Saccharomyces cerevisiae S288C: one gene and its partner. The gene in region 1 interacts genetically with each later gene. Each region holds a gene or a part of one and is shown in the gene's direction. Other genes may lie near its edges.

Region 1 (8,148 bases):
CTGACGCCACGGAACAAGTTCCAGGTGAAGTGAATCGCGATCATAAGATACCATTGAAGCTTAAGCGAAGTTTTACGGATGCATGCAAATCTGAAACAATACCAAATAATACAGTTAATGCTAAGGAAGAAAGTGTATTTCAATTTAGCAATGAACTTAGTGACGGCTGGGAGTCATCACCTTCTAATTCTATACCCAAGCGTGCTTCTCCATCAAAAAATGGCATGAATTCACCTATGTTTCAACACCAGTTTGAACTTCATAGCCCCACCGATGAATTTGGAGGTCATAAAGACGAAATATTAAGCGCGGAAGGCCATGACTACGACATAGATGAATACGATGAACTGAGCGATGACAGTGATGAAGAGTATGATAACTGTGAAGACGAAGACAGTTTGGATTATGCTGATTCCGCCGCATATGCATTGTGTAGATCCAAAAGTAAGGACAAGATATCATGGGATGAAGAAGAACAGGCGCGATTAATGGGCGTTGTAAAATTTAATTCAGAGCATTACAGGGACTAGGAAATAATACTAATTAAATAATTCTAATAATTCTAATATTAATAACAATAATAATAAGAATAATAATTATACAATAACACATGTATTTCCTAACTCACAATCGTTTGGACTACATATGCTGTCTAGTGCCTTATTGCGACTTTGCCCGTTTGATAACTTACTTCGATTGTTTAGTATTCAAAAAGGAAAAAGGCGTTTTCTTTTTCGTGTACTTTTTTTCGAAATTCTGTTGAATTTATTCGAACTCAGAATTGGTCCATCAAGAGCATCCAAAATACAAAATAACTCATCATCACACAAGAAGAAGCACAACTCCAAGCAATTTCTACAATATGTCAAAAAAACTTGCGTCACCATTGTCCTTCTTACCCCTTTATAATTTGCTTTCTGCTGTTGGTTGGTCTTATTTGCTTTACTTGGTCATCTCCTTGTACCCAAAAGTTGGACAGCCAGCATTCTTCTACCAAACTAAAAATGTCGCTACCCTTGTTCAATGTGGTGCTATAATCGAGATCATAAACTCATTTTTAGGAGTTGTACGTTCCCCATTGCTGACCACTGTTGCACAAGTGTCTTCAAGACTACTAGTTGTCCTCGGCATCTTCCAATTGTTGCCAAACACAAGTGGTGTTCAATCAGTTGTTTACATATCATTATTACTGGCATGGTCTATAACTGAGATCGTCAGATACTTGTATTATTTTTTCATGTTGGTATTCAAGAATGGCGCACCAAAGATCTTAATTCTATTAAGATATAATTTGTTCTGGATTTTGTACCCCACTGGTGTTGCCAGCGAACTACGCATTATTTACTGTGCTTTAAATGCAGCTGAATCTCAGTATTCTTTACTTTACAAAAGAATTTTAATAGCGGCCATGCTCGCTTATATCCCAGGCTTCCCAATGCTCTTCCTACACATGGTAGCACAGAGAAAGAAAGTCATGAAAAGTTTAAGATCCTCTTTCGGGAAGAAACTAATTTGAATTCTTTAGATAAATTCTTCTGTATTTTTTATAAGAATATTAGCCTTCACATTGAAATGGCTTCAACGCTCTTAACCATAATCACTAGTATCTTGCGGTGCACGGGCTTTATATTGAGCAAAATTGCGAAGGGTAGCCGAATTAGAGAACTCTTAGAAAGATGTCGAAGCTCACTCGGAGTCGACCTTCACAGCCTACTGAAACAACTGTGCCGAGACAATCTTAAGTGTGTTGCTCTAATTTTCATGCTACAACTGAAATTCATATGGCCAGTGGCCAGAATCACACCTATTTATAGGCCATTTACCAGTCATCCATTCAGAAATTTAGCTACTTCCTCAAGCATCAGTAGTACAAAAGCTAAGACTACTAAGACAGATACAACTCCACTAAAATTATCAAATGAACTATATGCAATATTCAAGATTCATAATCGTCCATATTTGGTGACCGAGGGCGACAGAGTTATTCTTCCATTCAAATTGAAGCAAGCGGAGGTGGGTGACATTTTAAACATGACCGATGTAACAACTTTAGGATCTAGAAACTACAAGCTAGTTGGTCATCCAATCAATACTTCTCTGTATACTTTAAAAGCAACCGTTGTTGGGAAAACTAAAAGGGCTTTCCAAACTAGGGAGGTAACGAAGAGAAGAAATAGACGGGTCCGTCATGCAAAGAGTAAAGGTGATTTGACAATCTTAAGAATATCAGAACTGAGTATGAACTGAATTTTAGGGATATGTACATATACGCATACGTATAAAATCATGTAAATAACAATAAAATTTGACACACTTTCTTCGGCCCCAATGGCCATTCAATTCCAGACCGACGCGTCTTCTAAGTTATAATGCTATGAAATTTCAACAAGTTAATTAAAAGTAAGCATAATAATAAAATCAGGTAATGGATTCACCAAAAAAAAAAATAAAAAAACAAGGGCAGAGGGGTGACCATTAGTACGAAACACTAAATATAGTATTAAAATAGTTCAACTCCACCTCCAAATGCCCTTTTTGAGGAAAATAGCGGGGACAGCACATACACATTCTAGGTCTGATTCGAACTCATCTGTGAAATTCGGCCATCAGCCGACTAGTTCGGTAGCATCAACCAAAAGTTCAAGCAAAAGCCCTCGTGCAACATCTCGCAAAAGCATTTATGATGATATTAGAAGCCAATTTCCCAACCTAACCCCCAACTCTACCTCTTCTCAGTTTTACGAAAGCACGCCAGTTATCGAACAATCCTTTAATTGGACGACAGATGACCACATCTCAGCTGGAACGCTTGAAAACCCAACGAGCTTTACAAACAGTTCTTATAAAAATGACAATGGACCTAGTAGCCTCTCTGATTCGAGGAAATCCTCCGGTGGCAATAGCGTAAATAGTTTGTCCTTTGACAAGCTAATTCTATCGTGGGATCCTACAGACCCTGATGAATGGACAATGCATCGCGTCACCTCATGGTTTAAATTTCATGATTTTCCAGAATCCTGGATATTGTTTTTCAAAAAGCATCAATTGTTTGGTCACAGATTTATAAAGTTGCTTGCATATGATAATTTCGCTGTTTATGAAAAGTATTTGCCGCAGACTAAAACTGCTTCATATACCAGGTTTCAGCAGTTATTGAAAAAAACAATGACCAAGAACGTAACAAATAGCCATATTCGTCAGAAGAGCGCTAGCAAACTTAAAAGTTCCAGGTCTTCCAGCGAATCGATCAAATCAAAATTAAAAAATAGTAAATCGCAAGAGGATATTTCAAATTCTAGATCAACGTCAGAATCTGCATTGAGCCCAACAAAATCGGGCCCTTCCAAGACCGATGAAAAGAATTTTTTACATTCTACTTCAACACACCAAAAAACCAAAAGCGCAAGTTCACTATACAGAAGAAGTTTTATATCCCTAAGAGGCTCATCATCGAGCAATGCTTCCTCAGCAAAATCACCTTCAAACATCAAGTTAAGTATACCGGCTCGGCCGCACTCAATTATTGAATCTAACAGTACACTTACCAAATCGGCGAGCCCACCTGCATCTCCTTCGTATCCTAGCATATTTAGAAGACATCACAAAAGTAGTTCATCTGAGTCGTCATTATTAAATTCCCTTTTTGGTAGTGGAATAGGCGAGGAAGCTCCAACAAAGCCTAATCCACAAGGTCATAGTCTGTCTAGTGAAAATTTAGCTAAAGGAAAATCTAAACACTATGAAACTAATGTGTCTTCACCTTTAAAACAATCTTCACTACCCACTTCGGATGATAAAGGTAATTTATGGAATAAATTCAAAAGAAAGAGCCAAATAGGGGTTCCTAGCCCAAATACGGTAGCTTATGTAACGTCTCAAGAAACTCCATCCTTAAAATCGAATTCGAGTACTGCTACCTTAACCGTACAAACGGCAGATGTAAATATACCATCTCCATCTTCATCACCACCGCCAATACCCAAAACTGCAAACAGAAGTTTGGAGGTCATCAGCACAGAAGATACACCTAAAATTTCTTCAACCACGGCGTCTTTTAAAGAAACGTATCCTGATTGTATTAATCCAGACAAGACAGTTCCAGTGCCGGTAAATAATCAAAAGTATAGTGTAAAGAACTTTTTACTGGACCAAAAATTTTATCCTCTGAAGAAAACAGGGTTAAATGATAGTGAGAATAAATATATTCTGGTTACCAAAGATAATGTTAGTTTTGTTCCGCTAAACTTAAAAAGTGTAGCAAAATTATCCAGTTTCAAAGAATCTGCTCTCACAAAATTGGGAATCAATCACAAAAATGTCACTTTCCATATGACAGACTTTGATTGCGATATTGGTGCTGCAATTCCAGATGATACTTTGGAATTTTTGAAAAAAAGCTTGTTTTTGAACACTTCTGGAAAAATTTATATCAAAGACCAAATGAAGCTTCAACAAAAACCGAAACCTGCTCCTCTCACCTCAGAAAACAATGTTCCTTTAAAATCGGTGAAAAGTAAGAGTTCAATGAGGTCCGGAACAAGCAGTCTGATAGCATCGACAGATGATGTTTCCATTGTCACTTCGTCTTCTGACATAACATCATTTGATGAACATGCATCAGGAAGTGGGCGCAGGTACCCCCAAACCCCGAGTTATTACTATGACAGAGTTTCCAATACTAATCCAACTGAAGAATTGAATTATTGGAATATTAAAGAAGTTCTTTCTCATGAGGAAAATGCACCAAAAATGGTTTTTAAAACAAGTCCAAAATTAGAACTCAACCTACCAGATAAAGGAAGTAAATTAAATATTCCTACCCCCATAACAGAAAATGAAAGCAAGAGTAGTTTTCAAGTGCTAAGAAAAGATGAGGGGACTGAAATTGATTTCAATCATCGTAGGGAATCGCCTTATACAAAACCAGAACTGGCACCAAAAAGAGAAGCTCCCAAGCCTCCCGCAAATACTTCTCCTCAGAGGACCTTATCAACTTCTAAACAGAATAAACCGATCCGCCTAGTGAGGGCAAGTACAAAAATTTCGAGAAGCAAAAGATCGAAACCATTGCCGCCACAATTATTATCATCTCCTATAGAAGCTAGCAGCTCGTCTCCTGATTCGCTTACTTCCTCATATACTCCTGCTTCGACTCATGTTTTGATACCGCAACCTTATAAGGGTGCAAACGATGTTATGCGTAGGTTGAAAACAGACCAGGACTCGACGAGTACTTCCCCATCTTTGAAAATGAAACAGAAAGTGAATCGCTCAAATTCAACTGTATCGACTTCAAATTCAATTTTCTATTCTCCTTCACCATTGTTAAAAAGAGGTAACTCAAAAAGAGTTGTTTCGTCGACATCTGCGGCCGATATATTTGAAGAGAATGACATAACATTCGCGGATGCTCCGCCGATGTTTGACAGCGATGATAGTGATGACGATTCTAGTTCATCCGATGACATTATCTGGTCCAAGAAAAAAACAGCTCCTGAGACTAATAATGAAAACAAAAAGGATGAGAAAAGCGATAACAGTTCTACGCATTCTGACGAAATATTCTATGATTCTCAAACGCAGGACAAAATGGAGAGAAAGATGACCTTTAGACCATCTCCGGAGGTCGTTTATCAAAATTTAGAGAAATTCTTCCCAAGGGCTAACTTAGATAAGCCAATCACTGAAGGAATAGCTTCACCAACATCTCCGAAATCCTTAGACAGCCTACTTTCACCAAAGAATGTGGCTTCATCGAGAACTGAGCCAAGCACTCCTTCCCGTCCCGTCCCTCCTGATAGCTCATACGAGTTCATACAGGATGGACTTAACGGTAAAAATAAACCATTGAATCAAGCTAAGACACCTAAAAGAACAAAAACCATAAGAACCATTGCACATGAAGCTAGTTTAGCAAGAAAAAACTCTGTAAAACTAAAAAGACAGAACACCAAAATGTGGGGTACAAGAATGGTCGAAGTGACCGAAAACCATATGGTGTCAATTAATAAAGCCAAAAATTCGAAAGGTGAGTATAAGGAATTCGCCTGGATGAAGGGTGAAATGATAGGGAAGGGATCTTTCGGTGCTGTTTATTTATGTTTAAACGTTACTACAGGTGAGATGATGGCCGTTAAGCAGGTTGAGGTCCCCAAGTATAGCTCACAAAATGAAGCCATTCTAAGTACCGTGGAAGCATTAAGATCTGAAGTGTCCACGTTAAAAGATTTAGATCATCTTAATATTGTTCAATACTTAGGTTTTGAGAATAAAAACAATATTTACAGTTTGTTTTTAGAATATGTTGCTGGTGGCTCCGTGGGATCCTTGATTAGAATGTATGGAAGATTCGATGAACCGTTGATCAAACATTTAACAACACAAGTATTAAAAGGATTGGCATACCTACACTCGAAAGGTATTCTCCACAGGGATATGAAGGCAGACAACTTACTTTTGGATCAAGATGGTATCTGCAAAATCAGTGACTTCGGAATTTCAAGAAAATCAAAGGACATATACTCTAATTCGGATATGACCATGCGAGGAACAGTCTTCTGGATGGCTCCTGAAATGGTTGATACAAAGCAAGGCTACAGTGCAAAAGTTGATATATGGTCTCTGGGATGCATCGTTCTGGAAATGTTTGCTGGTAAGCGCCCGTGGTCCAACTTAGAAGTCGTCGCAGCCATGTTCAAAATTGGAAAGTCAAAATCGGCACCACCAATTCCTGAGGACACTTTACCATTGATATCGCAAATCGGACGAAATTTTCTGGACGCATGCTTCGAGATAAATCCAGAGAAAAGGCCAACCGCTAACGAGCTTCTTTCTCATCCTTTTAGTGAAGTAAATGAAACATTCAATTTCAAATCTACCAGACTCGCGAAGTTTATAAAGTCAAATGATAAGTTAAACTCTTCAAAATTAAGGATAACCTCTCAGGAGAATAAAACTGAATAGCTATTAGGATCGATCTATACTTAAGATATTTATGCATACGTAATAATATAGAACAATAAACATAGATGACGGAATGACGGAATGACTGAAAATTAAGAACAAAGAAAATTAAAAAATTTCTGCTGATACTTATTCAGACGAAAAATGGTGCACAATAAGGGTGTCAAAACGACGATTCGACCCTTCAAATATTACAGTCCTCACCTCTTCGCTGAAGGGCTCACTTTCATCAGGAAGGTCCTCTCCAATAATAAAGGTAGTCTCCTCTATATCAGCTAAAGCAGTATCTGATAAACCAACATCAAGCACAGTCTCTATAAAGGACGGCTTTTCAATTGCTTCTTCTGGAACTTTCGTTTCAAAGGGGATATCCACAATTTTAATGGTAGATTCGTTTAGCCAGTCATGCTCAGCAAATGCAGTTGACAAATCTTTTGCGAAATCAATATTCTTGCTGTTAATAAATATACTACAGGATGCATTATCATTATTATAGCCATCTCTATAGCATATCAATAAGAGAAGATATAGTCCAAGATAATCGGATTGTGTCAGGTATGGTTTTGGAAGTAATAAATTGAACCGTTTCCTCTTAAAGCGATCAGCATTTAATCTGCCATAGGTATTTGAAATTTGAACGGCAAAATTTGCCTTGAGTGACTGGAAAATAGACTTGAAGAAAGTAGATGATAGTTCATTCAGACCTAGGAGATGAGAATAAATGTGATCAAAGTTTGCGTATTTTTCATCAATGAAGACTGGGCTCCCTCTATACTCATACGAGGCCCCTTTTAATGGCAATAAGATCAGATCTGTGGAATCCATTTTCATCGTCGCTATATTAGCTGCCTTTTCACGCATTGTAGAAAATATGACTTCACTTGAAAATGGTATTTTGCTCAGGTTTGAAAATATATCAAAAATTTGTAATAGTGAATCTGTATTTGCGGTAAAGTGGGGATCATCATTATATAGAGAAGATGATTGCAGCAGATCAGTTGTCCGTTCAGTGAGCAATCGTAAATGAATGGCCCTCAATGCACCGACTCCCTCAAACGGGGTCAATTTTTCATCTATAACACTTAAATTGGTATCCACATCGTCAACGCTTTTAGACCAGATATGAACCATCTTTTTTATTTTGAATGTGTTAGATTTCAATGTGGAATCAGTAGCTGTTGTCAT
Region 2 (4,180 bases), on another chromosome or scaffold:
TTCTCTTGAAAGGACAACTGAGATAAAGTGGACCCTATCTTGATTATCAAATCCAAACTTTTACCCACACATTTATCACTTACGACCTTCTCAGCACAAAACTGACTTAATAGTTCCAATAAAATGGGCAAGAACTTCTTTTGCAATAATGCTGGCGGAAACTCTGGCAGCAGATTCACGAGACCCTCTAAGAATACGTATTTTTCTTCGTTATTTTTGGTAGGTAAATCGTCTAAAAAATTCAAGGTTTTGACTAACGGATCTTGGAAAAACTCAGAATCTAAAATCAACGTTATGTTATCATATCTGGAATAGATGTCTCTGTTTATTAGCTTGGGTATACAATGCCTCAACTTTTGTGGAACCTTACTGAATATATTATCCCATGACATTGTACTAATTTTGCTTTCAAACTTGTTGTACTCCAATTTATATTCACTAGTCGAATTTTCGCTGCGAAACAAGTCTTTACCAGTGTACAGAAAATATATCAACAATCCTAAAGAAAAATAATCGTTCTTAAAGGTTAGGGTATTCTCAAAAACAATTTCTGGGGCCGTATAATTCAATTGTAAATGCATAAATGGGGGAACTCTGGGATCATATTGAGGTAAGAAGTATTCAGAGGTATTTGTGCCTGGTGGTATTTTTACTAAATAGCCTAAGCCGGAAATTTTCCAATCAGAATTTTCATTGATAAATATTGCCCTAGGTTGAATGTTCAAGTGTACAAAGCTTGCGCGGTTATGAACAAAATCGAGTGCATTTACCAGTTGCAATATACCTCGCTGTACCACGATATTATCTTTAACATGACCTTGTAAGAAATTCTGCTCTTCATCATCGGTTTCTCTGAAAACGGTCTCCAATGAGCTAGTGACAAACTCGGTGACGAACATGAAATTCTTGCTATGTTCTTCTAATGGTTCAATTAAAGTCAGAATATTTGGGTGCTTGAGCTTGGCCAAGTTATTGGCCTGGTTTCTTAATATTTCGTACGCTTCTTGTATTAATACTTTATCTCTGGATCCAGATTTGGATTTAATAATACCATAGTGTAACAAATAGTTTTCGAACTGCTTCTTGTCAAACATGAATATCGATACTTTGGAAGGTGAAGATGAAGATGAAGATTTGGGACGACCGGTGTAAATGCTCCATGGTTCAGCTGTGAAAGTAGGTGATGATGAAAATGAATATTTTGACGTGATACCCGTCTTTGAGGACCAAAACATCATCCCTGCTCAATCAAAGTGTGTCCTATTTTCCTTAATGATACGATATTCGAAGTTACACTGTTTTGAATACTTTTGTGCGCTTTAATATGTGCAAGATTTATTTGTTTTGATATTAACTTCTTTTTGGCTTCTATTTTTTCAAGACTGCAGTACCCTTTTTTTCACGCAACTTCAGGTTCGAACCGAAGAATAGTTTAATTACGTTTAGTTTTCCTACTGAAACTTTTTTTTTAAAAGACCCTGAGAATTTCATCTCGAGAATAATGAAGACCAATATATAAGTAATGAATCATAAAAGTACAAGAGCAGGATCAAAGTTGAATGTCTCAACAACAGGACAAGAAAATGAGTGAAGAAGGAGCATATGTACGGGTGAGCATTTTTCTTGTATAAACATAAACTAGCTGAACATCAGCTCAATCGGACATAAAAATAAGTTTCCAATTAGACATGCACTTGAACTTGTAATTATTTATCGACCAAAAAGAGTAAGTTAATTTTCACATAATCTTGGAAAAGCCAGAAACAAGATTCGAGAGCTGGAGAATGGATGATGAATCAAGCAATGTTGAACAATCAAAATAATATAGGGTGTATAGGTGTTCACGTATTTCTCTTTATGTTTAGTGGGTGTGCCAAAAAGGACACTGAAAGGGTAAGAATAATAACTTAGCATATTGCTTTCGATATATAGATGTTAATCATACAAAGGCAAAAACAAAGCGTGAATCAGCATTTGTTAACAGACAATTGCAAGAAATGTCGCTGATCAGCATCCTGTCTCCCCTAATTACTTCCGAGGGCTTAGATTCAAGAATCAAACCTTCACCAAAAAAGGATGCCTCTACTACCACTAAGCCATCACTATGGAAAACTACTGAGTTCAAATTCTACTACATTGCATTTCTGGTCGTGGTTCCCTTGATGTTCTATGCTGGGTTACAAGCTAGTTCGCCCGAAAATCCAAACTATGCAAGATACGAACGTCTCCTATCTCAAGGTTGGTTATTTGGCAGAAAAGTAGACAATAGTGATTCTCAATATAGGTTTTTCAGGGACAATTTTGCGCTATTGTCAGTTTTAATGCTAGTCCACACTTCTATAAAACGCATTGTACTTTATTCAACAAATATCACTAAATTGAGGTTTGATCTGATATTTGGTTTGATCTTTTTAGTGGCCGCTCATGGTGTCAATTCGATAAGAATTTTAGCCCATATGCTAATTTTATATGCCATCGCCCATGTACTAAAGAACTTTAGAAGAATAGCCACCATCAGCATTTGGATTTATGGTATTTCTACGCTTTTTATTAACGACAACTTCAGAGCATATCCATTTGGTAATATTTGCTCTTTTTTAAGCCCATTGGACCATTGGTATAGAGGTATCATTCCAAGATGGGATGTCTTTTTCAATTTTACTCTTTTGAGAGTCTTAAGTTACAACTTGGACTTCTTAGAGAGGTGGGAGAATTTACAAAAGAAGAAAAGTCCATCCTATGAATCAAAAGAAGCTAAATCAGCCATTTTGCTCAATGAACGTGCTAGATTAACTGCTGCACACCCCATACAGGACTACAGCTTAATGAATTATATTGCATATGTTACTTACACGCCACTTTTCATTGCCGGCCCCATTATAACATTCAATGATTATGTTTACCAATCGAAACATACCTTGCCATCAATAAATTTCAAATTCATTTTTTACTATGCGGTGAGATTCGTTATTGCTCTCTTATCTATGGAGTTCATTTTACACTTTCTCCACGTTGTGGCAATCTCAAAAACCAAAGCGTGGGAAAATGACACACCTTTCCAGATTTCCATGATTGGCTTATTTAATTTGAATATTATTTGGCTAAAACTACTGATTCCGTGGAGGCTGTTTAGGCTGTGGGCTTTGCTAGACGGAATCGATACACCTGAAAATATGATCAGGTGTGTTGATAACAATTACAGTTCACTAGCATTCTGGAGAGCTTGGCATAGAAGCTACAATAAGTGGGTTGTCCGTTACATATATATTCCTCTAGGTGGTTCAAAAAATAGAGTTTTGACATCACTAGCAGTCTTTTCCTTCGTAGCTATATGGCATGACATCGAACTAAAGTTATTATTATGGGGTTGGCTAATAGTTTTGTTCCTCTTACCAGAAATTTTTGCTACCCAAATTTTCTCTCATTATACCGACGCAGTCTGGTACAGACACGTTTGCGCTGTCGGTGCTGTTTTCAACATATGGGTTATGATGATCGCTAATCTTTTTGGATTCTGCTTGGGCTCTGACGGTACTAAAAAATTACTAAGCGATATGTTCTGTACCGTATCTGGTTTCAAATTTGTAATTTTGGCAAGCGTTAGTTTATTCATCGCAGTACAAATAATGTTTGAAATCAGAGAAGAAGAAAAGAGGCACGGAATTTACCTAAAATGCTGAATGCCAAATTTACGAATATCAATTGTATAACACTGCTATCATGTATGTATTTTTATCTACTAGTACAAAAATGAAACCGAAAATAAATAAAAAAATATCGAGAGGAAGCGTGAAAAGCTAATGAACATATAATATGAAAATCTGCAGTATGATGGATAAAAATCCTCTCGAAAACTCAAATACGTTTTTTATATTCACCAGGCGTTTCAAATTTATTCTGGATCCACAGTCCCTTTTTTCTAGATCTTGCCAAAAATTCATAATATCGATACTTATCTTCTCTATCATCAAATTCTGTGTTTACTTTACCCTCATAAACAACCGCTAATCCATCCTTGAGCATTTCTAAGCTTAAGTCTTTCCACCCACCAAACCAGTCCCAGTATGACACTCGAGCTACACAACGGTTGTACTGATCTATAGATAAAGGCTTGACCCATACTTTCTTTCCCAAAATTCGGTTTTGTAACCAAATTAAAGCTTCATTACCAAACGGTTGA

The links.
Region 2: mutations in BCK1 (region 1) and GUP1 together harm fitness more than expected from each alone (negative genetic interaction), as found in Saccharomyces cerevisiae (5 studies listed by BioGRID).

What each region holds. Positions count from the first base shown.
Region 1 is NC_001142.9:244,729-252,876, forward strand, and holds BCK1 (mitogen-activated protein kinase kinase kinase BCK1), read left to right. Parts: upstream 1-2,526; coding exon 2,527-6,963; downstream 6,964-8,148. Other genes in the region: SAP185 (Sap185p), read left to right, coding at 1-530; enoyl-CoA hydratase PHS1, read left to right, coding at 863-1,516; mitochondrial 54S ribosomal protein bL21m MRPL49, read left to right, coding at 1,762-2,247; KHA1 (Kha1p), read right to left, coding at 7,093-8,148. UniProt on the Saccharomyces cerevisiae protein: Serine/threonine protein kinase involved in a signal transduction pathway that plays a role in yeast cell morphogenesis and cell growth. This pathway seems to start by SMP3; then involve the kinase PKC1 that may act on this kinase.
Region 2 is NC_001139.9:350,116-354,295, reverse strand, and holds GUP1 (O-acyltransferase), read left to right. Parts: upstream 1-1,997; coding exon 1,998-3,680; downstream 3,681-4,180. Other genes in the region: SCY1 (Scy1p), read right to left, coding at 1-1,238; LCL3 (Lcl3p), read right to left, coding at 3,856-4,180. UniProt on the Saccharomyces cerevisiae protein: Membrane-bound O-acyltransferase involved in the remodeling of glycosylphosphatidylinositol (GPI) anchors. Acts only on GPI-anchored proteins, but not on free GPI lipids.